Schizosaccharomyces pombe: one gene and its partners. Changing the gene in region 1 together with any one later gene gives a genetic interaction. Each region holds a gene or a part of one and is shown in the gene's direction. Other genes may lie near its edges.

Region 1 (4,822 bases):
GAGATTCGTAAAACTGAGATATCAAAGGCTTGAGTTGGGCAAACGCTTTGGGATCATTTAAAAAGCAATGGCTTAAAATCATTACGACATATCCACTAATTTCTACGATACTTTCCTACATTTGTTAGAAATGTCTTACAACAGAAGTAGTACAACTTACGTTCTTTTGATAAAACGAAATGAGGACATCGAGTGCTGAAGCTCCGAAAGAAACTAAATAGAATTAGTAAAAATATTAATAAAAGGAACTTACCTTCAACATGAGTGATAGTTTGAATAAACTCATGAGATTCCTCAACTAGCCCTAGTAAAAGACCAAGGATTAAGATAATTAGTTCTCGTGTAGTTTCATCATCGGACGAAAAATTAGAAAACTTTTGTAAAATTTTATAAGCAAACAATGGGACTTCTGATTTAGAAACCGCTAACGCATGATCACTGTTAGAATTAACTGTTTGAATCAAAGTACGCAACAATTTTTCACTGCATGCATGGACAACTGTATCGTCAATTTTTGGTGAATTTGTTTCATTGTGTTCATCAATTAAAATTTGTAACTTTGAGGATAAGATCTGTGAAACCTTCTGAATCTTTTCTGATCCCTGGAAATCCGTAAATTTTTCTAAAGAACTACAAAGTGCATGAAGTAAGAAGTTATTGCTTCCATCGTTTTCCTTCAAGATGGGGTAGGATTTTTCTATTAAAAGATTGATTAATTCGGTAAACAACTCGCTTTCCGCAAAAACTCCCGAGGACGTCTTCATAAGAGCGATAGCTGCAAGACTGATAGAATCAGAAGAAGCAAGAGACTCATTGCTAAAACTAAAAGTAAGCTCTGCCTTTATAACGAATTCTTGAACGGCTCCCTTTACACTTTTTGGTAAGCTTTTTGCCAAAATTGAAACCGGTACCTGCGGTTCTAAAGTAATAGCCGTTTGCAAAAGAAGTTTAACATTGTTTGAGTAAGCATCAAGCAAGGAACTCATGCAATCCATTTCATTAGCCATAGTTGCAAATATATAAATCTGCAAAAAAGTGTGTAAAGTATCTTTAGGATCAATTTCTTCAAATATTCGCAAGAAGACATCCCGTATCGACTTTAAGCATAAACGAAATGAATTGTCAAACATTTTTTCAGCGATTCCTATTAAACTCAAATAGCGAGAAGCAGAAGAGTTACCTGAGAAAGTCACTCCGTCCACTAAGTATTCAATTTCATCAACGATCCTTTGCTGCTCTCCAGCAAAGCGAAGTTCATGTATACTTTTCATTTGAATTTCATCATCTTCTGATACGTCTTCCTCTATCAAAAAAGCACGTTCTGTACCAATAGTATGGTTGGTTGAATCCAATTCTCGACCAGAGGATACTTCACGGGGTACAATTGGCTGAGTATCTAATCCTTCCTCCATCAAATACGATCTTTGTTCCCGATAGGTAGTGGAAGAATGGTTTGCGGAAGCATCAATACTACTACAGCTCGCGGACCTTTCCAGTCCTGTCTTATGAGAACCGTACTTTGAATTCTGAAGTCCATTTCTTAAAATTTGTTTTACCGGTGAAGACGGTAAACTCAAATCAGGATTACTAACGACCCTTTGCTTTTTATGCAGTCGTTTAGACACGGTCTGTCCTGGCGAGCGCTTTTGCTTGTTTAACTCTGAAACTGTCACGTCTAAAAAGTTCCAAACTTCCGATTCCGAAGAAATTCTCTTCAAACCATTATCTTTTTCCTTACATTTTCCTCTTTTCATTTCAAGGTTTCTTCAATCCGCCTGGCTTGACATCGATTCTTTACAAAAATGGAGGAACACGGTCGTACCAACTCACAATGTAGCTTGTCGAGTGAGTGAAAACCTTCGAAAATAGAGCTTAATAACTTCTTGAGCAAAGAAAAAAGAAAATAGGGTCCTTGATGAGAAATTCGTTTTTTATACTCAGTAATTTTAGAATCGTTTTTCTATTTGTACTTGGTTGATTTCAATCGGTCCTTATAGATATTTGAGTCACATTGTTACTCTACCCAGTATAAATAGAAAAGACTTAGTCGATAGAAATCATACAGGGCATCTTTTTATTCATTTATTATAGCAACTTATCCACTGATAGTAAAAAAGTTAACTAAAAGTTTTGAATTCGTACAACTTATGGAAGACCATAAGTGGACGAGTGGCTATTTGACACAAGTTTGTTTTCAGAGAGCCTGAACTTGGTGCAACACCTTTATTATACAGAAATCATTGTGACATGTAACATATTATTGAAAATTTCGACAACGAACAACTCAATAATATCTCGCAGAGCAAAGGAGTTATTCAAAATTTATATAACGATGCATCCTGTAATAATTTTAAACTCGTATAAGAGATTCTATAAAAACTTCGGAAAATGAAAAGCTGTAGTTAAAAAATTGTTTTGTGAATTTTGTACAAGTGTTGGAACTTATTTATTCAATATAATCTACTGAATCATATAGGCTAAGTAAGACATAAACTGATTAGTCGGACAAATGTGAACTAGTTAGCAAGCGCGACACGATAGCTACGCGACGCGTCAACAAACGCGACACGCTCAAATTTAATATAACCCTCGATATAAATGAAATGTCGCGCCCTATATAGTCACGACAACAATATCCTTATTTTTGGATTTTGTGTTCAAATCATGAGCGCTGGATCGCAAACAAAATTGAACTTCTCTGTCCGTAAAACTCGATCCTCATCAAAAAGGTCGAATGCGGCCATTATTGAGCCACCCAAAAATCCTGAGGATTCTCAAATAATACCAGCTGTTAAAAGGCTGAAAGAGAACTTGGACACTGAGTCTTTAGAACAAAATGAGGTTTTACCCCCAGTTAAAAATGAATCAGTTCTTTTCTTAGAAAAGGTCTTTAATGCAGTCGACATATGTGTAAAATTTCACCTCTCCATCAATACCAAACCAACCTTTGTGCTGTTAGAAAATAAAGTCTCTGGTCTCACCAAAATCTCCTTAAAAATAACTCATCTCGCTCAGATTTTAACCGTATGGCCAGAGTCATTTGCTATTACCCCATGTTTTACTATTCATCAAGGAAAGCGTGTTGCAACATATGAACTGTCATACCCTCGCAATGCGAATCTTCCTGAAGCCTTCTCCCGCTCCATTGAATTTAAACGGAGACTAGAAAAATGGTTGTTAGAGCATTGTTCTGAAACTGAGATTCCTGCTCAACAGTTACAAGCTTTACCCAGTCTATCCAAGAATACTGTTAATGAAAGTTCACTAGTTCGAAAGCTCAATTTGGAGAAATCAACAAGTCGCGAGTTACGTATTCCCACACAAACTCTAGAACCAAAATTCACTACTAACACGGCAAAATATGCTAATGAGTTAGTCTCGTGTAGCATGCTTGACAGTTCGTCCACTTTGTCAAAGTCAGTGAATTCAAAAATCAATTTGAAATCCCATCAAAGTTCTTCATCTGTTCAAAATTCATCGCGTAAGCTAACATCATCTCAGTTAACTTTGAGACAATCTTCTCTGTTCGATCGCGTGCGTAAAAAGCAAAAAGCAATGGAAGCAAAAAAAGCTGAAGAATTTAAAAACAACCTAGTTGTTCATACTCTAGCAAAAGAAAAGGTCTCATTTGTCCGCATTATTGATCTCATTTTTGTTCAGCTTTCCACTTGGCCAACTAAACGATCTTTTTCTATGTCTGAAATTGTGACAAGCATGCAAATGTCGATATCATCAAGCTTATCACCTGACCAGTGTGCCAAAGCAATTGAGTTGCTTTCAAAAGCTTTGCCTGCTTGGTGCACTATCAATCTTCTTGGTAATATTCAAGTAGTCACATTCAGCAGGATTGTTAATGGGAAACCATACTTGCGATCCCAATTAATTGAAGAATTGCAAACAAAGGCTAGCATCACTATTCTTTCAAATTCTTAATTGTAGGCGATGTTTCGAATGACATGCCTAAGATCACCACTGCTGGCAGTGGTTTAACGTTTACTATCTTTTACGATCTATATAATTTCCATCACCAATATTATGATACTATGGAATCTTTCATTAATTTACTTTTGTTATTATGTTTTTGGTTGATTTACTCTTCTAGGTACATGAAATCCGGTTATCCTTTTTAACAAGCTACAAAATTACTTTTTTTTAATAAATAATTATTTCCTTTAAGACCACTTAACCTGCCATAAATCCCAAGTTTTTGTTTTTCTGCGAATACTTTAAATTAACACCCAAACATTGAATAAAATTTTTTGATATTTACCAATTCCAGCGGCAAAGGGTGGCAGTTATTGCTGTAATTAAAAATCTCAAATAAGGCGCCGTTTTTAATAAACAATCTGAGTGAATCATATCGATAATGTAAAGGTTGCTAGTTAGAACACACAAATTGAGGTATAACTCGCACATTAAGATATCATAATCATTGGTCAAGCAGACAACATCTGAAGCATACCAACCAACTCATTTGCCCTTTGAGTAACCGCTACTTCCTGCTCAACTTTTTCACGAAGCTTTGAAATTGCATTTTCCACCATTACGCTGCCCCCAAGAGCAGCTCCGTATATATCTAAAATGGTGCTAGTAACTATACATAAAGTTTCGGAGAAACGAGGGTCTCTTATATATTTTCTTAAGAAGTTTATCAAAGGAGTAAGAGATAAATCATCTCTGTTAGACAATGCAATCCGTAACCCTCCAACATGAAGAAGCTCAATAAGCATAGTTATGATAAGAACAGGTGATCCGTTCTCCAATACCATATCCAAAGCATCAGAGTAACAAAATGATTTTAAAGCTTTGTCGAAAGGACGAA
Region 2 (5,311 bases), on another chromosome or scaffold:
GAAGAAGGCTAGATTCACGATTTGTTCCCAAAAGTTTAGGATCTTCACGTAACTCCAATTTACCAACACCAACATTAGGAAGACTCGAAATGAGACAGCAAATTTTACCGCCAATATTTTCAATGAGACGATGGGCAGCCTTAAGACCTGGTCCAAGGGCATTACTAGAATCACGGGTAGTTGCAAACATTGATTGAAATCGCTCGAGTAAGTTTTCAATGCCTTGTCTACATTCGCGTAAATTAAGTAACAAATCTTGATTCCTGGGTAAAAACGGTTCCTCTAAATCAGAAACAACTAGTTGGGTGGCTTCTTCAGCACCAGGGGAAACTGAAAAAAAATGCAGGGCACTGTCTACACCAATAAAAGCCACCTTTGCACGTCCTTCTTTATTGGGGATGCGATCCAATGATTCCAGAATTGCACGACTTGCAGTACCAACCATACCAGAAGATATGGATACAAACGAAATATCAATTAAAAATACGTAAACCAAAGGTTGTGGAGCACGAACCATATATTCTTGAGGAGCAATAAAATCAACAACTGCATAATTGAGCTCAGGACGTTGCCAGCGATCACGTTGGACATTTCTGAAACTGTCCCAGTCATATGACTGGGGTACTTCATTAACAATACCACAAGAATTACAGCGATAGCGATGGCCATTGTCAATAAAGATACTAAAAGGATTGATATACATACGACACCTGCGGCATCGTGATATAATAGTATCAGTAACAACTGGAACTGGATCATCTTCTTCGACCAAGCTAGTATATGGACGGATGACTAATGCAAATGGAATTTTTGACTTTTTTAACAAGCTATTTGTTGTCGGTACACAGTTTATCGTGGATCGAACATATTTGGGAGGGCAATTGGAAGTAGCTGCTCCAGTAGCGGAATAGCTTAAGGGTAAATTAATAGGAGGAGGAGGAGAGGTTAAGTCAGAAATTTCTGGTGTTTGATTGTACAAATCAACAGAAACTAACTCATTGGTAGGCATAGCTGCTGCACCATCTGCTCCAAGTGACATTCCGCCAAATTGTGCAGAGAGAGATTTAGTTCCCACCTCTGCGCGATCATGAGGATATGGTGAAGAGGATGGAGTTCGTGCCATAACGTAAGAGGGCTCTGAAAGAGAAGGGGGAGCCGGTGACGCTGCTAAGGTATTTGTAAGTTCAAACACCTCAGCAGGATACTGTCTACGAGACTTATGAGAGGTATGAGAAACGGGTGGTTGTTGATCGACAGATCCTATTATGTTGGTAGGAGCAGCACCCATAGCTCCAACAGCGTATTCACCATTGCTTACAATGCCTTCAGCTGTACCCTCAGCAACTGCCCCGACATAAGGAGCGGTATTATCTAGCTGGCCAGCAACTGGATAAACTGGCTGAAATCCTTGAGGAGGTATATTCGAATTTCCACTACTAGCTCCATAACTACCCTTTCCGTAGAAAGCGTCCTCCTGACTCATTGCTTTAGTGTATTTTTTTTTACTTACAGTGGTATATTGCTAGCAAAAAAAAGAAAAGAAACACTGAATTATTTAATAACTTTTTTGAAGATCCCTCTATTTTTCCTTCCTTTTCACAAAAAGACGTTTTTAACAGTGTTCCCTGGAGTAGGTAAATGGCAGCTACATTCGCTGGTTCAACTAACGTAGATGGAAAGTTAAGGTAATCACTGGAAAGTTAACGAGCTTTACAGTTTCGTTATTAAATACTATGTATCGTAGTAATTATATCGGTGACACACGTTATTACCCTAATAATTTTAACATAGGCAGGAACTTTGTACCTAATTGATAAAAAATAGTGATTATTAGTAAACAAAAGCCAATAGAGATATTTTATCGTTTTAATTTATTCTTTTTTTTTTTTAAGTTTGATATGAGGCAGATACCTGTAAACGTTTTCAACTAAAAAAACTCTTCTAAACCACTCATACTTAATTTTCTATTTTAAAAATTTTACATGTATATATCATAAACAAGAGAGTCACATCTTAAGAAATTTTGAAATTTTTTTAAAAATGCTCTCAAAAACCATCACTGCATGTATCGTACACTATTTAGCTACACCAACGCTCTATAATGTTACCCAATTTTAACAGGCTCACTAGTTAATTAGAATTCAGAATTGCAAAGTATCAAAAGTTCAATTATAGATTGAATAATTGAAGTTGCCTGCGCTATTTGGTTTTGTCTTACATGAACTATTACACCCCGGGTCCCTTGCTATACTGATTACCTTTTGTCAATGTTTTTTTCTTAATATTTCTTCAGACAAGTGAACATTATTATGCAAGGAAAAAACAATTTAAGTTGCAGACCGGATACAGAGGACAATGAAGAGCTCTTTGTCGATGATCAACTCTTATCACCCATTGGTGACTCGAAAAATACAAGTTCTTTCATTTACTTGGGAAACCCCATAAGCTTTCATGAATACAATTATGATGAGACTATGGTATCACCTGAAAATGTGAAAACAGCAATTGCTGGAAGTGCGAAAGACCATGAAACATGTCGAGGCTTCAAAAAAACAGGCACTACTTCATATAAAGACTTTGTATTCAGTAGAGATTACACCAACTGGACACCCACTTTTTGGGTTCTGTTAAGTCAACTAATTGATGAATTTTTGAAAGAAAGCGAATTAAACTTTGTGGCTGCGAGAGATCTTCTTATTAAAACCAAAAGACTTCCAAAACCTTTCAATAATTTACTCATTCAATTTCGTATGACACCTGAGTGCTTTCAAAAAAATCCGCTAATTCAAGTCTAGAAATTCAAGTGCCCAATGTTTCACGAAGGACTGTGTATAGGCATCTTAAGGGATATTTTAACATTCCAGGTTATGAAAGGTTTCAATACGTTAAAAAAGCGTCGTCTGGATCATGGGGAGCAAACGACATTATCACTTTGGAAAAAGAAATTGCTATGTTTAAAAAGGTATGGTCTTTAGCTTGCTGTTTTATTATAAATATTAAAAAACAGAAAAAAAATTGGTCTGATGAACAATTTCTTCAATATGTTTGGTCTGATAACCATCGTGATGAAATGAAAACATTATATAATTGTTTGTGTAAGTCAATTACTATCACTTGTTACTAATTAATAATAGATGAGCTTATCGATAGGGATAAAAAGAGTATTTACAATTATCTCCGCAGAAAATATAATCCATTTAAGAAAAAATGTAAATGGACTATAGAAGATGAGGCAGAATTGAAAAAGTATGTAGTTTACTTTCCAAATTGCAACTAACTAATAGACTTGTTGAAAAACATGGAACATCCTGGAGCTTAATTGGCAAATTGTCGAATAGACTACCAATGCATTGCAGAGATCATTGGCGCGACTACATTCAACCTGGTGAAATCAATCGTTCACCATGGACTATCCAGGAGAAAGAAAAATTAATCAAAACGGTTAATCAATACTTGCAAAGCAATCCTTCATCCCCTATTCAATGGAGTCTAATTTCTAAAAACATGAGAAATCGACACCGTCATCATTGTAGGTGGAAGTATTACACACTAATTTCCAGAGATATACATAATAGTTCCCCTTTCAAACTTGGCGATAGTATATGGTTAATTGAAAGGTACTCCAATTATAAAATTTTAAATAAGAAGCTAATTAAATTCAGAATGATGGACCTTAATGTTGCAGAGGAACGGATGATTGATTGGAAATGCTTATCAGAATATGCTAATCACCTATGGACAGCAGATGCTTGTAAATCGCATTTCGAAAGAATAAAAAAAACCTTGTTTATCGATGGACTTTCTACGTTTTCTGGTAAATTTTTGAATATAATAATTATTGTTAATATGTTAACGCTTTAGATACTTTAATTCATTTGCACAAAATGCTAAATTCTTCTCCTGAAGAAACTTACATTTCGAACTTACATGATTCTTACACCGCTTTTTCTAACGCCGATGATTTATGCTAGCTACATGAACAAATTTATTTTAACTACTTCCTCAAAGTCATAGATTTAAATTTTTTGTGTATTCATTGAGAGAATGTTCTCATCTTACTTATATTAGTAAATTCACTTTTATATTTTTTCTAGTATACATTTGTGTATGTAACCTGTTTGCCGTGTAGTCAATAAATAAAACAAATGTGGATAAAAAGGAAAAATAGTTTCTAACATTGGAGATGCCGGGAATCGAACCCGGGACCTTTTCAAGGTGCGAACTATGCGAATGAAACGTTATACCCCTAAACTACATCCCCAGTCGATATGATGTTATAATTTAACCCATTATTAATAAAAGGTTAAAAAAAAGAACGAATGTCAAGCTATAAAATAAAATAATCATCATCATCATTGATTAATTTAGCAAGGGTGCCTGCATCTAGTTTTTTTATCAGTCAATAACTCATACATTAACCGCATTCATAAGAGGCTATTTTGACAGGTCATTTCTGAATTTTTTGAATTAAATTAATAGTACACAGAGAGACATAAATGAAAACTAAGTAAGTTTCATTAATAATACATGAATACAGAAGTGATGCCCACAAAATAACAAATCAGATAATTCTATTTACTTACCCATCATAAATTTTTATTCATTGATGCGAAAATAAAATATGGATGAAAAGAGGTTGATTGAAGAAAAGTAAAATCATTAAATAATTTTTTCTTTATGATAAATTAGCCAAGCGTCTAGTGATTTCATAGAGTCAAAGAACGGAATTTAAATTACTGATGTACTGAAATCCTGATTTTTATGTCAAATATTCTATCACTTCCTAACTAATCCTTTTCATAAATATGACTAAAAAAATTACAAGTTTAAGTTGTTTCGAACTTATCCTCTACACATTCATAAATACGCCATGAAACTATGCAATGTACATCAAAGACAAAAAAAAATGTTTAACTTGTAAAATAAATTGAGACTAGGCTTTTCAAAATAGGGATATCTCCGATAAAATCTCATACATAATCATGCAATCCGAAATTGGAATTGAGCTTGACAGGCAGGCTGCCATTCTAGGAAGCTATATCTGTGACAGTGGAACATAAAAAAGTCATATTTACAAAAATCTAATCCTTCTTCAAAGGAATAATTCTTGTCTCTACACCTTCTTTTGTGATAATCTTAACAAGAACTGAATCACCAACCTCGATGTGTCGTTCTCCAGCACTTGTAAATGCATCAGTAGTAATCTTCATAGCTTCCTCCAATTTTAAAAGTCTCCTTGGCTTTCTCTCTTTTCCATGTGAACCAGGAACGTACTGATTATGTAAGTTCACTTGATTGTCGAGGAATGGAG
Region 3 (5,122 bases), on another chromosome or scaffold:
AGCACTTTCAGCCCTTAGAGAGATAATTTCCCGACGATCATCAACTATATTTCCTGTTCTCATCCCTACTCTTATTAAAAAACCTGTTTCTGCTTTCAATGCTCGTGCTTTATCATCTTTGGCTCAAGTTGCTGGTGTAACCTTGAATAAAAGATTACCTTCCATTCTAAATGCGCTAATGGAATCTTCTCTAGCTTCAACTGGAGATGATCTTGTTGCTTTGAATGGAGCAATTGATAAAGTTAATTTGTCTGTGAAGGATCAAGAAGGACTCCAAATTCTTATGGCTCATTTTTACTCGTTTTCTGAAAGTGAAGATTTCAGAAAGAGATTATTTGCTGCTGAGCATATGCTAGTCTTTTTCCAAAACTGTAAACTCGATTACTATAGGTACGTTGGGGACTGGGTTAGACATTTTATTACTCTCTTCGAAGACAAGAGTCAAGATGTTGTGGTTGCTGCAGTTGCTGCTCAGAATACTCTTGTTTCGGCTCTTCGCAAAGACCAGTTGGATTCTTTAGTTTCAATTGCCTATCATAGCCTTCGCGATGTGGGATCTCAAGGCGTTAATCTTCCGGCGTTTGAAGTTGCTCAGGGCGTCAATTCCATTTTACCTATTTTCCTTTACGGATTAATGCATGGAACAATGGATCAGCGAGAACAATCTGCTTTAGGTATTGCAGACATTGTTTTAAAGACTGAACCAAGCAAACTTCGTCCTTTTGTTACTCAAATAACAGGACCATTAATTCGTATTATTGGTGAACGATTCCCGGTCGAGGTTAAGTGCGCTATTCTGTATACGCTTAATATTATTTTATCTAAAATCTCTACATTTTTGCGCCCGTTTTTGCCCCAATTGCAGAGGACATTTGCAAAATGTTTGGGTGATCCATCTAGCGAAGTCATTCGGAGTCGTGCAGCAACAGCATTAGGAACTCTGATTACCTTACAAACAAGACTTGCTCCCATTATCACGGAGCTTGTATCTGGTGCACGGACTCCCGATGCGGGTGTTCGTAAGGCTATGCTTAACGCACTTTTTGCTGTTGTTTCAAAGTCTGGGCAGAATATGAATGAAGCATCCGCAGAAGCCATTGAACAGCTCCTTGACGAAATATCTGCAGAAAGTAGTGAACACATGGTAATTTGCGCCAAGTTATACGGTGCATTATTCAGTCATCTACCTGACGCTCAAGCAAAGCAGCTGTTAGAAAGTAAGGTTTTGAGTTTAGAGATTCAGTCTGAATTTTCGGTACTGATATTGAATGCTGCTGTGAAGTTTGGTTCTCAAAAAATTATTGAGTTGAAGTTATCAGACATAGTTTGTTCGATTATCTCAACTGCGAGTTTACAGAAGGAAGTTACAATTGCTGAAAATGGTATTTTGGCTCTTGGTAAAGCACTTTTGGCTGATATTCCACAGAGTTTCGGAAATGCCAAGAATTTAGTTGAGGCACTGAAGGTTAACATCGAGGCTCCACCTTCAACTTCTCAAGATTCACGACGTCTCGCACTTTTAATCATAAGGGTTGTGAGCAAGGAAAATTATAGTCTTATTAAACCACATATTTCCATTCTAGCTCCTGCGATATTCGGTTGTGTTAGGGCCATTGTGATTCCCGTAAAACTTGCAGCAGAAGCTGCATTTTTGGCTTTGTTCCAATTGGTTGAAGATGACAGTGTTTTAAACAAGTATATTGAGACACTAGAAGGGCCAAGAGCAAGAAGTTTTGTTGACTACAGTCGTAGAGTTGCCGTGAAATTAGCAGCTGCCGAACGTGACCGTATAAATTCTGGCAGTGAGCGAGTAAAACTAGAAGAGGTTGAGGATCTTGCGGAAATCAATGCTGTAGGACGGGACAATGAAGTTTCCACTAATGATCCTTAATCCCAACTCAAAATTTGGAAGTACTCCAATTCATGTTTTGAGTTGTAACGTTAAAAAAGATTGGGTATAGATGAATGAAAACATTTTGTTTATAAAATATCTCTGTAAAGTGTTGACGATATCAATATATGGTGTAGCAATTTTAAACTTCAGTTTCGTATCAGATTTAGTTACAATATCAGAAATTAATGACTTTGTGTTATAAATGTGTAAACTTAATAAAGAAAGACATCTTTATTTACTTTTTACTTTCAATATCATAGTACTTACTTTGGGGTAAATATTTGCGAAGTAGAACTTTCCAAAAGGAATTTTCTAATTTGACCCACCTAATAGTTTAATATTCTTTATTGTTATTAAACTTTAGTTTGTAAAAGTTTTTCGGACGCGCCAAGTTCTACTTAAATTTTATCAACTTTATCTTTCAGTTTTAGGACACCTTACCTATCACCACAATGGCAGTTCTTCGTCAATTCGTCAAGAACTCTTACTCTTCAATTCCCAAGCGCTTTTATGCGCTTTCTGCTAATCAAAAAAAGGTAAAGAAGTTTATTTAAACGCGCTTTTTTGGAGCAAGCAATGACTGTATTTTCTATCTGTGCTGTTTGCTACTATCAACAGGCGATAGATTGACTTGCTCAAATGATTTATGAAGTGTTCTAATAAAGTTCTAACGATAATTAAGTTACTCAAAGCACCATTGGCAGAATGTGATCCGACAGTGTATAAGATTTTGGAATCTGAGAAAAGCCGTCAGAAAGAGTCGATAGCTTTAATTGCTAGCGAAAACTTTACTTCAAGAGCTGTGATGGATGCACTCGGAAGTATTATGCAAAACAAATATAGTGAAGGCTATCCTGGTGCAAGATATTATGGTGGTAATGAATTTATAGATCAAGCTGAAAGACTATGTCAAACGAGAGCTTTAGAAGCTTTTCATTTGGATGGGGAAAAATGGGGAGTAAATGTACAACCCCATTCTGGGTCTCCGGCCAACTTACAGGCTTATCAAGCAGTAATGAAGCCACACGATCGCCTAATGGGTTTAGATTTACCCCATGGCGGTCATTTATCTCATGGTTTCTCTACTCCCCAGAAAGCTATTTCAGCTGTCTCGACTTATTTTTCCACCATGCCATATAACGTAAATAAGGAAACTGGTATTATTGACTATGATAGTTTGGAAAAGGCTGCGATACAATTTCGTCCTAAAGTTATAGTTGCAGGCGCTAGTGCTTATGCACGACTCGTTGATTACAAGCGTATGCGTAAAATTACGGAAATGTGCAATGCCTATTTGCTTTGTGATATGGCTCACATATCCGGTTTAGTAGCTGCCGGTGTAATTCCTTCTCCGTTTGAATACGCCGATATTGTTACTACGACGACTCATAAGTCTTTACGTGGACCGAGAGGAGCTATGATATTTTATCGAAAAGGTACTCGTTCTCACGATAAACGTGGTAATCCAATTTTATATGAATTAGAGGATAAAATCAATTTCTCAGTTTTTCCTGGACATCAAGGCGGCCCCCATAATCATACAATTACTGCGTTAGCTGTCGCCCTTGGACAAGCAAAAACTCCTGAATTCTATCAATACCAAAAGGACGTTCTAAGTAACGCCAAGGCAATGGCCAATGCATTTATTACTCGTGGCTATAAGTTAGTTTCAGGTGGCACGGATACTCACTTGGTTCTTGTTGATTTGACCGACAAAGGTGTAGATGGTGCCCGTGTCGAACGTATTTTAGAGCTTGTAAATATTTCTGCCAACAAGAATACTGTGCCCGGAGATAAGTCTGCTTTAATTCCACGTGGATTACGTCTGGGAACTCCAGCTTGCACTACTCGCGGTTTTGATGAGAAGGATTTTGAGAGAGTGGTAGAGCTAATTGATGAAGTTGTATCTTTGACCAAGAAAATAAATGAAGCTGCTTTGAAGGAAGGAAAATCGAAGTTTAGAGACTTCAAAGCATATGTGGGTGATGGTTCTAAATTCTCTGAAATCGCCAAACTGAAGAAAGAAGTTATAACTTGGGCTGGAAAATTTGATTTCCCCGTTTAAGCTGTCTCTAACTTTTTGGCTCTTATCTCATACTTATCATCTGTTACTTTCTCTTATAAAGGATATATCATGGAAATTAAACATGAGCTGTATGAATAATGAAAATATCTGGACAAATTCTCTATTAAAGTAACCCTACAAATATCATATAATAAACAGAGGTAATAATGTGTTACACTTATATGCTGCATAGGAATGGGGATAAAATTATGCTGAAGCGTGTATAAAGAAGGACGGTAAATCCATAGTAGACAATATTAGCATTAGGCAAAATATCTACCCCTTTATTAAAGGATACAGCCCTAATAAATGGTTGACTAACCTGCTAAAGATTTCATAATCATAAGGCACCTTAAATGTTATAAAGGGGTGGAGTTTTTAAATGAAGAGAAACGAGGTAAAATAATGGTACGAATCCGTGATAACCATCTAACAACATTGGGAAGAAGACTTCTTCTTATTAAGATCATTCATGGTAGGGGCGATATTAAGCGTTTGACCAGCTGTAGGATGAACACCGTCGTCTCCAGCCTCGAGTGATCTGTTGGAGACAATTCGGAAAATTTCTACGCTAGATTAGTAAAACTTGAAGAAATCAAAGCAAGTACGAATAAACATACCAGTCAAAACTGTTTGGAAAGCTTCTTCAACATTGCTAGCATCCATGGCGGAGGTTTCAATAAAAGATAAGTTATTTTCAGCTGTAAAAACATTAGTTAATTATGTTCAAAAAATTATGACGAATCAGAGGCAAACAAATGTGCTTAATAAACAGAGAATGGAATCGACAAGGTGAATAATATTTCAAAACAAAAAGAGATCTTCTACGCTTCAAGCAGTTCAAAATTGCTAAAAACGATGAACGGAATAAAGTGAGAGCGGCTAAAGCCGGTTTCACTACTTCCCGTCCGAACAACTCCATATCTCACCAACAAAATTACTTACCAGCAAATGCCTGGGCTTCTTCAGTAGATACAGCTCTTAAATGTAGTAAATCCGTTTTATTACCAACAAGCATGATAACGATGTTGCTGTCTGCATGCTCACGAAGCTCCTTTAACCAGCGGCCCACATTATCGAATGAAGATTGTTTTGTGATATCGTAAACAATCAGAGCACCAACAGCACCACGGTAATAAGCTGAGGTAATGGCCCGATAACGT
Region 4 (5,052 bases), 750 kb from region 1:
TTTCCCTTCAATTCCAGTAACACCAATAGAAAATACTCGAGGATAGATAAGTATGGAAAATATTTATGTATCACAAAAAATTGAATAAATTGAAAACATTCCGTGAACCACTTCAGATAAACAAGATAAGATGGTAATAAAGTAGTAAAAGAGAAAGGATATGTTAAACAAAAAGTATTGAGGGATAAGAGATCATGGTTACGTGTAGTAACAATTATTTCGGAGGAGAAAAGGAAAGAGAAAACAGAGTGATAGCGCTATGCACACATACAATCGTGTTTAAAAAACCGATGTCTACTGACTGTTGTTCAAACCGGCGATGGAAAGATCCCGCATACTCTGTAAAACTTGTTCAACTTTATCATCCAACAAACCATTGGAATAGTCTTCGCGTACAGAGTTGTCAAAGTATTGCTGAACTTGAGCCATTTTCTCATATCCCTCCCTACAAAAGCGGAGCTGAATTTTGACAAGGGCTTCAAAGCTAGGGTCCAAATAAGGCACACGAAGAGCAATTAGTTGCGGAAGCTCACTGACCAGTTGATTATTGAGTGTCTCGTAGACCTCCTTCGCCATGGCTGCTTCTTTCTCGGTACGGGGAAGCTTAGTAGTGTCGTTGGAAGGCTTGTCGACCAGTTTTTGAACCTTAGCCCTCATAGCATCATGATCAAGTAATTTGTGATTACGCTTCGTGATAGCGGCATTAATATCGGGAAAGTAACTGCAGAACCTTGAGATGGGATCCAACACCGTTGTCCGGAAAGGACCGTCCAACTCTTTTACGGTATCGGCGTCCAAGTCTTCGACGACTTGTCGATAGTATGCACTGACACCATCCTTCGATCCAGCATCACCGTAAAATGCATCGATTGTGTTAGCGATTCTAGTTTGAGACGCAGTCATGGCTCTCAAAGCATCGAGATAACCTTTGGCTTCTTTTTGAAGCTTCTTTGCAGCTGATTCCATAGTTCTATAACGTCTTTCCTCTGTTTCAAATTCCCGATCCACCGTTCGCTCAACATGACCCGTCTTCATCATAACCTACCACAATGTTAGACAATTCTTCAACACTCAAATACATACCGAGGTACCCGCTCGGTTAACGGCCTTTTTGAATCCATGCCAACTCATTTTTGTGATATGGAAAAGAGAAGCGTCGGCATACCCAGATATCTTATGTCAGTTGATCGCTGCGCTAATGTTCGCTAGCTAAGCTGCATTGGATCTTTTAGTGGATTCAGCAGGATTCGCGTAGGGAACAATTCACGGAAGCAAAGCCATAACGTAAAGCCTGATTGCGAAGTTTATCATTGCGTTAAATAGAATAATGATAGTTTATTTCACAATGCAATTATAAAAAGATAAGGATGAAAAGCGTGTCGTTAATTTTGTGTTTAATTGATAGAGCAAGAGCATAATGGTGGTAAATTTGGGTTTCGAGGGTTGGCTTACTTTCATGTCACTATCAATAAATTACATCGCTTAAAAAATATATCTAAATTTTTCTTGTATAATCATCTGTAGTAAATCTCTGACTGCAATTAGAGGTCTATCCTCAGATAATTCTTGTTCACTAACTGCATCCAGCAGAAATCGCCTTATAAGGTAATATAGTTATGTTATAGTTTAATATAATATATCAATGTAAACATTTTAACTTGACAATATAGAGGTAATATCGTTTGCTCATAAATGGAAGATATTGTGGAGAAGCAATTTGAAATACGGACATTTTACCAACTTATAAATTTCATTAGAAGTGGTGGAATAAATGGTTTTGCATTATATGGATATAATGTTTTGAGGCTTCGACATGGAAAGACACGATTGCTACTTATCAATATATGAGATCATTCATGATAAAACTATAAAGAAAACGCTTTTCAGCGACATTTGAGCTAAAAAAACCCGGTCTCATAGTTTGCATCCTTACTCAAAAAGTGAAGAACTTAAGTTGTAGTAGTGGTGCATTACTTTGAGAGCTATTGTATAGCGATATTAGATATTGAAACAAGAACTCAGCCATTCAATGACAGTTTGTTTGTTCTGTGGGCAGTAAGACATCCAGATAATGCCCAAGAGAAAGATTCTTCTGAAAGTAAGAAACAAAAGCACCGAAATAAACCTTTCTTCTCTCTTTGTTGTCTTATCTAATTTTATAACTAAATTTGCCCATAAATCTCATCTGTGTGATGATAATTAACCGCATTTGACCAGCCCAAATATATTCTATTACAGAAAACAAGCGCTGCTACTAATAGATATACATAATTTTATAATATAATATTAATAATATAAAAAATTTAGTTGTACTGAAAATATTATCTTATGGAAAACTCCTTATAAACACTTTTTAGCGAGACACATCTACCACCACCTTACGCAGTATGAACACGTATTATACCCCAATACCTCGCTCCTCCTTCCCTTCTGTGACGTAATAGACGAGGTTATAAATATGGTGAATTATACATTCGAGTAGCTTCCAAGATCAAACTACAATTAAGTATTTCCTTTTATTTTAGTTTAGTATCGTATTTCTCTCATATCGATACTGTGCCCGTTTTTAAAATGTATGGAAGATTGAAAGATGGTTAAGCTTTATGGTCCAATTTTACTAATCTTCAATTCAATTAGAAGTTTCAACAACTCTTCTCCAAATTTCTAGTTTAATGTATGTCAGTTTTAATTATCAAACTTAACTCTAGCTACTCCATGTCTATTTGCTTAGCATGGTTTGAAAGACCTTTTGTATCTCGACATTATCTCTGCTGTTTGTAAACGAGCTGCATTAAGATTCGAAATACTTATGGTTTTTTAGTAGCAGTCGTTGTTAGTACTCTTTACATTCGTGGAATTTTTTTTTCCCGATTTCGCTAATCAACAGTAAACGATATTATTAAGTGTGATGGATTTGAACTATCAAGTATTCACTAGCATCTCCAAAAATTGGTGGTCCGCTTCTCTCGTTCCAGTCGCCTGCGGCTGGTTCATTGGGAATTCCTACAAGCCAAGAAAGGATTATGAGAACAAAAAGCAACCAAAGTTCCACCCCCCTGCATCTGCCTTTGGACCAGCATGGACACTACTATACCTAACAATGGGATATGCATCCCATTTGGCGTACAAGGCTGACCCTTTGATGATTACGAATGCCTCTCGAAATGGATCCATTTTATACATTGCACAGTTGGCCGCTAACTTTGCTTGGATGCCCTTGTTCTACGGATTAGCAAAACCAAAATTGGCTCTTGCCGATCTCGGCATTTTGACGGGACTTGTTGGTTGGCTTGCAAAGACATGGTGGCCTCTTGCACCAACGGCTTCCAAATGGTTAATTCCTTATTTAGCCTGGTTGGGATACGCTGGCTACTTGGTAAGTAATGTCACTAATTAAGGTTGATGTAGATCAAGAGAGTCAAAAGCATGACATGAGACAGTAGAATGTATTGTTGCATTTAAGAAAGAGCTTAAGCTGCACGATCAAAGTTTGAAAGAAACAGAAAAAAAAACACTAAAAAAACAATAACAGAAGAATCAGGTCGGAGAAAAAATATTATTGGAATAAGAAAAAGACAGCAGGAGGGATATGAGTTAAATAAAAAAAAAAAATTGGGCAGAACGAAAAAAGTCAAAACAAATTGATGGATAATAAATCGGTGACTAAAAAAATAATGAGTATAATATGATATGCAAAAAGGCCATGACTGAGTGATTTCGACTTGTTTCTTTCTCAAAAAATCACCAACAACATTGCAGTCCTAAATTGAACTTTGTCGGTAGGTCGACAACCTATACACAGTCTTGTGATTGTTTTGTATCTCTCTCAGCCTTAATTAGTTGACTACTTCATGGTTCCTGAAGAACCGTGTGAGGGATATGTTTGCTGACCAATTATCATAGAATCTTGGGTATTGCCTGTTAAATTAAGAGGATCGATATCGCTCGCTGGTAGTACAGGGAGACCTGTGGCTGTAGGATCATTGACATCAAGGTGATCAATCGAATCCATTGGATTGTGTGGTATAAAAGCTGCACCTGCAGACACGCTATCATCGTGATACACATCCAGACCAGGAAAAGCACTATGCTCATTTCCAGCTAGTGTAGATGAATAATCATTAGTACCTTTATGAAATGACCCTGGATGAGCAGCTGACGAAGTAGTAGTAGTAGTAGAGTTGTTGCCATTGGTAGAAGCTGTAGCAAAACTGCCTAGTTGAGAACCACTGGACATAAGATTCGATGTGTTTGAGTCGGTCTGTGGGAGCACTGTCATATCATGAGGCACTGGCCCCGAGGTGGAAGCGGTATTAGTGGGCCCACCCGACATGGCAATATTACCACTCATGTCTAGCTCGCCTCTGACATTTGGAGAAGTAATGTTGTTTCCAGAAGTATTGTTAGCAGGAGACATAGATGCTGTGGCAGAATTGATAGGAGCTGGAGACTCAGACGAGTTGGAGATAGAGCTAGGTCTTGAATCATTGCTATCCGCATATCCTTCAGACGTGTGAGTCACTTCAGAAGAAACGGTTGCAGGCACGGTGGCATCATTGGCATTTGTGGCATTAACATCGTCTCCTGTACTTCCTCCATTAGCAGCTGCCTCTGCAGCTTCCTGCGCTCTCAATTTTGATACTTTGTCAGCAGTCAAGAATCGGCCACCAGGACCACGAGGTCGTCGCATAGCATGCTTATGCCTTGATTCATGTAAATATGGTTTTTTCGTAGTCTGCACACCACGCAATCTCTCTTCTAACTTTGCGCGAGCTTCTCTACGTTTCAAAATTCGATGGTATTGCTTTGCATTCACGTAAAGCCCCTCGACCGGCTCATATGGATTCATTGGAAAATGACTATTCTTATTTCAATTGCTCTAACTATTGGGAGGATCTCAGGAATCAAAATTCTGCTCGTTACGGTATATTCGTCTCGTTGGTCGGTTGGTTGGTTTAGGTGGTTTGTAACTCCGCAGGCGCTAGCGACTACCAATGGTAAGCAGCTATTCTTTACATATCGGTAAATGTGTATAACGATTATTGTCGATCT

The links.
Region 2: mutations in cdt1 (region 1) and rtf1 together harm fitness less than expected from each alone (positive genetic interaction), as found in Schizosaccharomyces pombe (one large-scale study listed by BioGRID).
Region 3: mutations in cdt1 (region 1) and shm2 together harm fitness less than expected from each alone (positive genetic interaction), as found in Schizosaccharomyces pombe (one large-scale study listed by BioGRID).
Region 4: mutations in cdt1 (region 1) and tsp0 together harm fitness less than expected from each alone (positive genetic interaction), as found in Schizosaccharomyces pombe (one large-scale study listed by BioGRID).

What each region holds. Positions count from the first base shown.
Region 1 is NC_003423.3:474,767-479,588, forward strand, and holds cdt1 (DNA replication licensing factor Cdt1), read left to right. Parts: upstream 1-2,625; 5' UTR 2,626-2,664; coding exon 2,665-3,933; 3' UTR 3,934-3,972; downstream 3,973-4,822. Other genes in the region: wpl1 (WAPL family protein), read right to left, coding at 1-115, 161-213, 254-1,754; U3 snoRNP protein Utp15, read right to left, coding at 4,437-4,822. UniProt on the Schizosaccharomyces pombe protein: DNA replication licensing factor, required for pre-replication complex assembly. Faithful duplication of the genetic material requires 'once per cell cycle' DNA replication initiation and elongation.
Region 2 is NC_003424.3:4,795,927-4,801,237, reverse strand, and holds rtf1 (RNA polymerase I termination factor Rtf1), read left to right. Parts: upstream 1-2,110; 5' UTR 2,111-2,309; coding exon 2,310-2,748; exon of another isoform or gene 2,749-2,795; coding exon 2,796-2,962; intron 2,963-3,007; coding exon 3,008-3,095; intron 3,096-3,134; coding exon 3,135-3,246; exon of another isoform or gene 3,247-3,284; coding exon 3,285-3,617; exon of another isoform or gene 3,618-3,662; coding exon 3,663-3,814; intron 3,815-3,861; coding exon 3,862-3,971; 3' UTR 3,972-4,043; downstream 4,044-5,311. Other genes in the region: sec24 (coincidence detector Sec24/Sfb2 subunit), read right to left, coding at 1-1,483; 20S proteasome complex subunit beta 6 Pam1, read right to left, coding at 5,082-5,311. UniProt on the Schizosaccharomyces pombe protein: Mediates site-specific replication termination at the polar replication barrier RTS1, a barrier which ensures that replication of the mat1 locus in S.pombe occurs in the centromere-proximal direction.
Region 3 is NC_003424.3:2,216,024-2,221,145, reverse strand, and holds shm2 (serine hydroxymethyltransferase Shm2), read left to right. Parts: upstream 1-2,323; 5' UTR 2,324-2,346; coding exon 2,347-2,430; intron 2,431-2,576; coding exon 2,577-3,959; 3' UTR 3,960-4,127; downstream 4,128-5,122. Other genes in the region: translation initiation regulator Gcn1, read left to right, coding at 1-1,891; Rab11 family GTPase Ypt3, read right to left, coding at 4,389-4,525, 4,580-4,660, 4,905-5,122. UniProt on the Schizosaccharomyces pombe protein: Interconversion of serine and glycine.
Region 4 is NC_003423.3:1,222,066-1,227,117, forward strand, and holds tsp0 (tspO-like protein), read left to right. Parts: upstream 1-2,486; 5' UTR 2,487-2,573; exon of another isoform or gene 2,574-2,637; 5' UTR 2,638-2,674; exon of another isoform or gene 2,675-2,834; intron 2,835-2,877; exon of another isoform or gene 2,878-2,887; 5' UTR 2,888-2,908; coding exon 2,909-3,376; exon of another isoform or gene 3,377-3,844; coding exon of another isoform or gene 3,845-3,903; coding exon 3,904-3,930; downstream 3,931-5,052. Other genes in the region: BAR adaptor protein Hob3, read right to left, coding at 295-1,041, 1,084-1,131; CCAAT-binding factor complex subunit Php2, read right to left, coding at 3,845-4,849.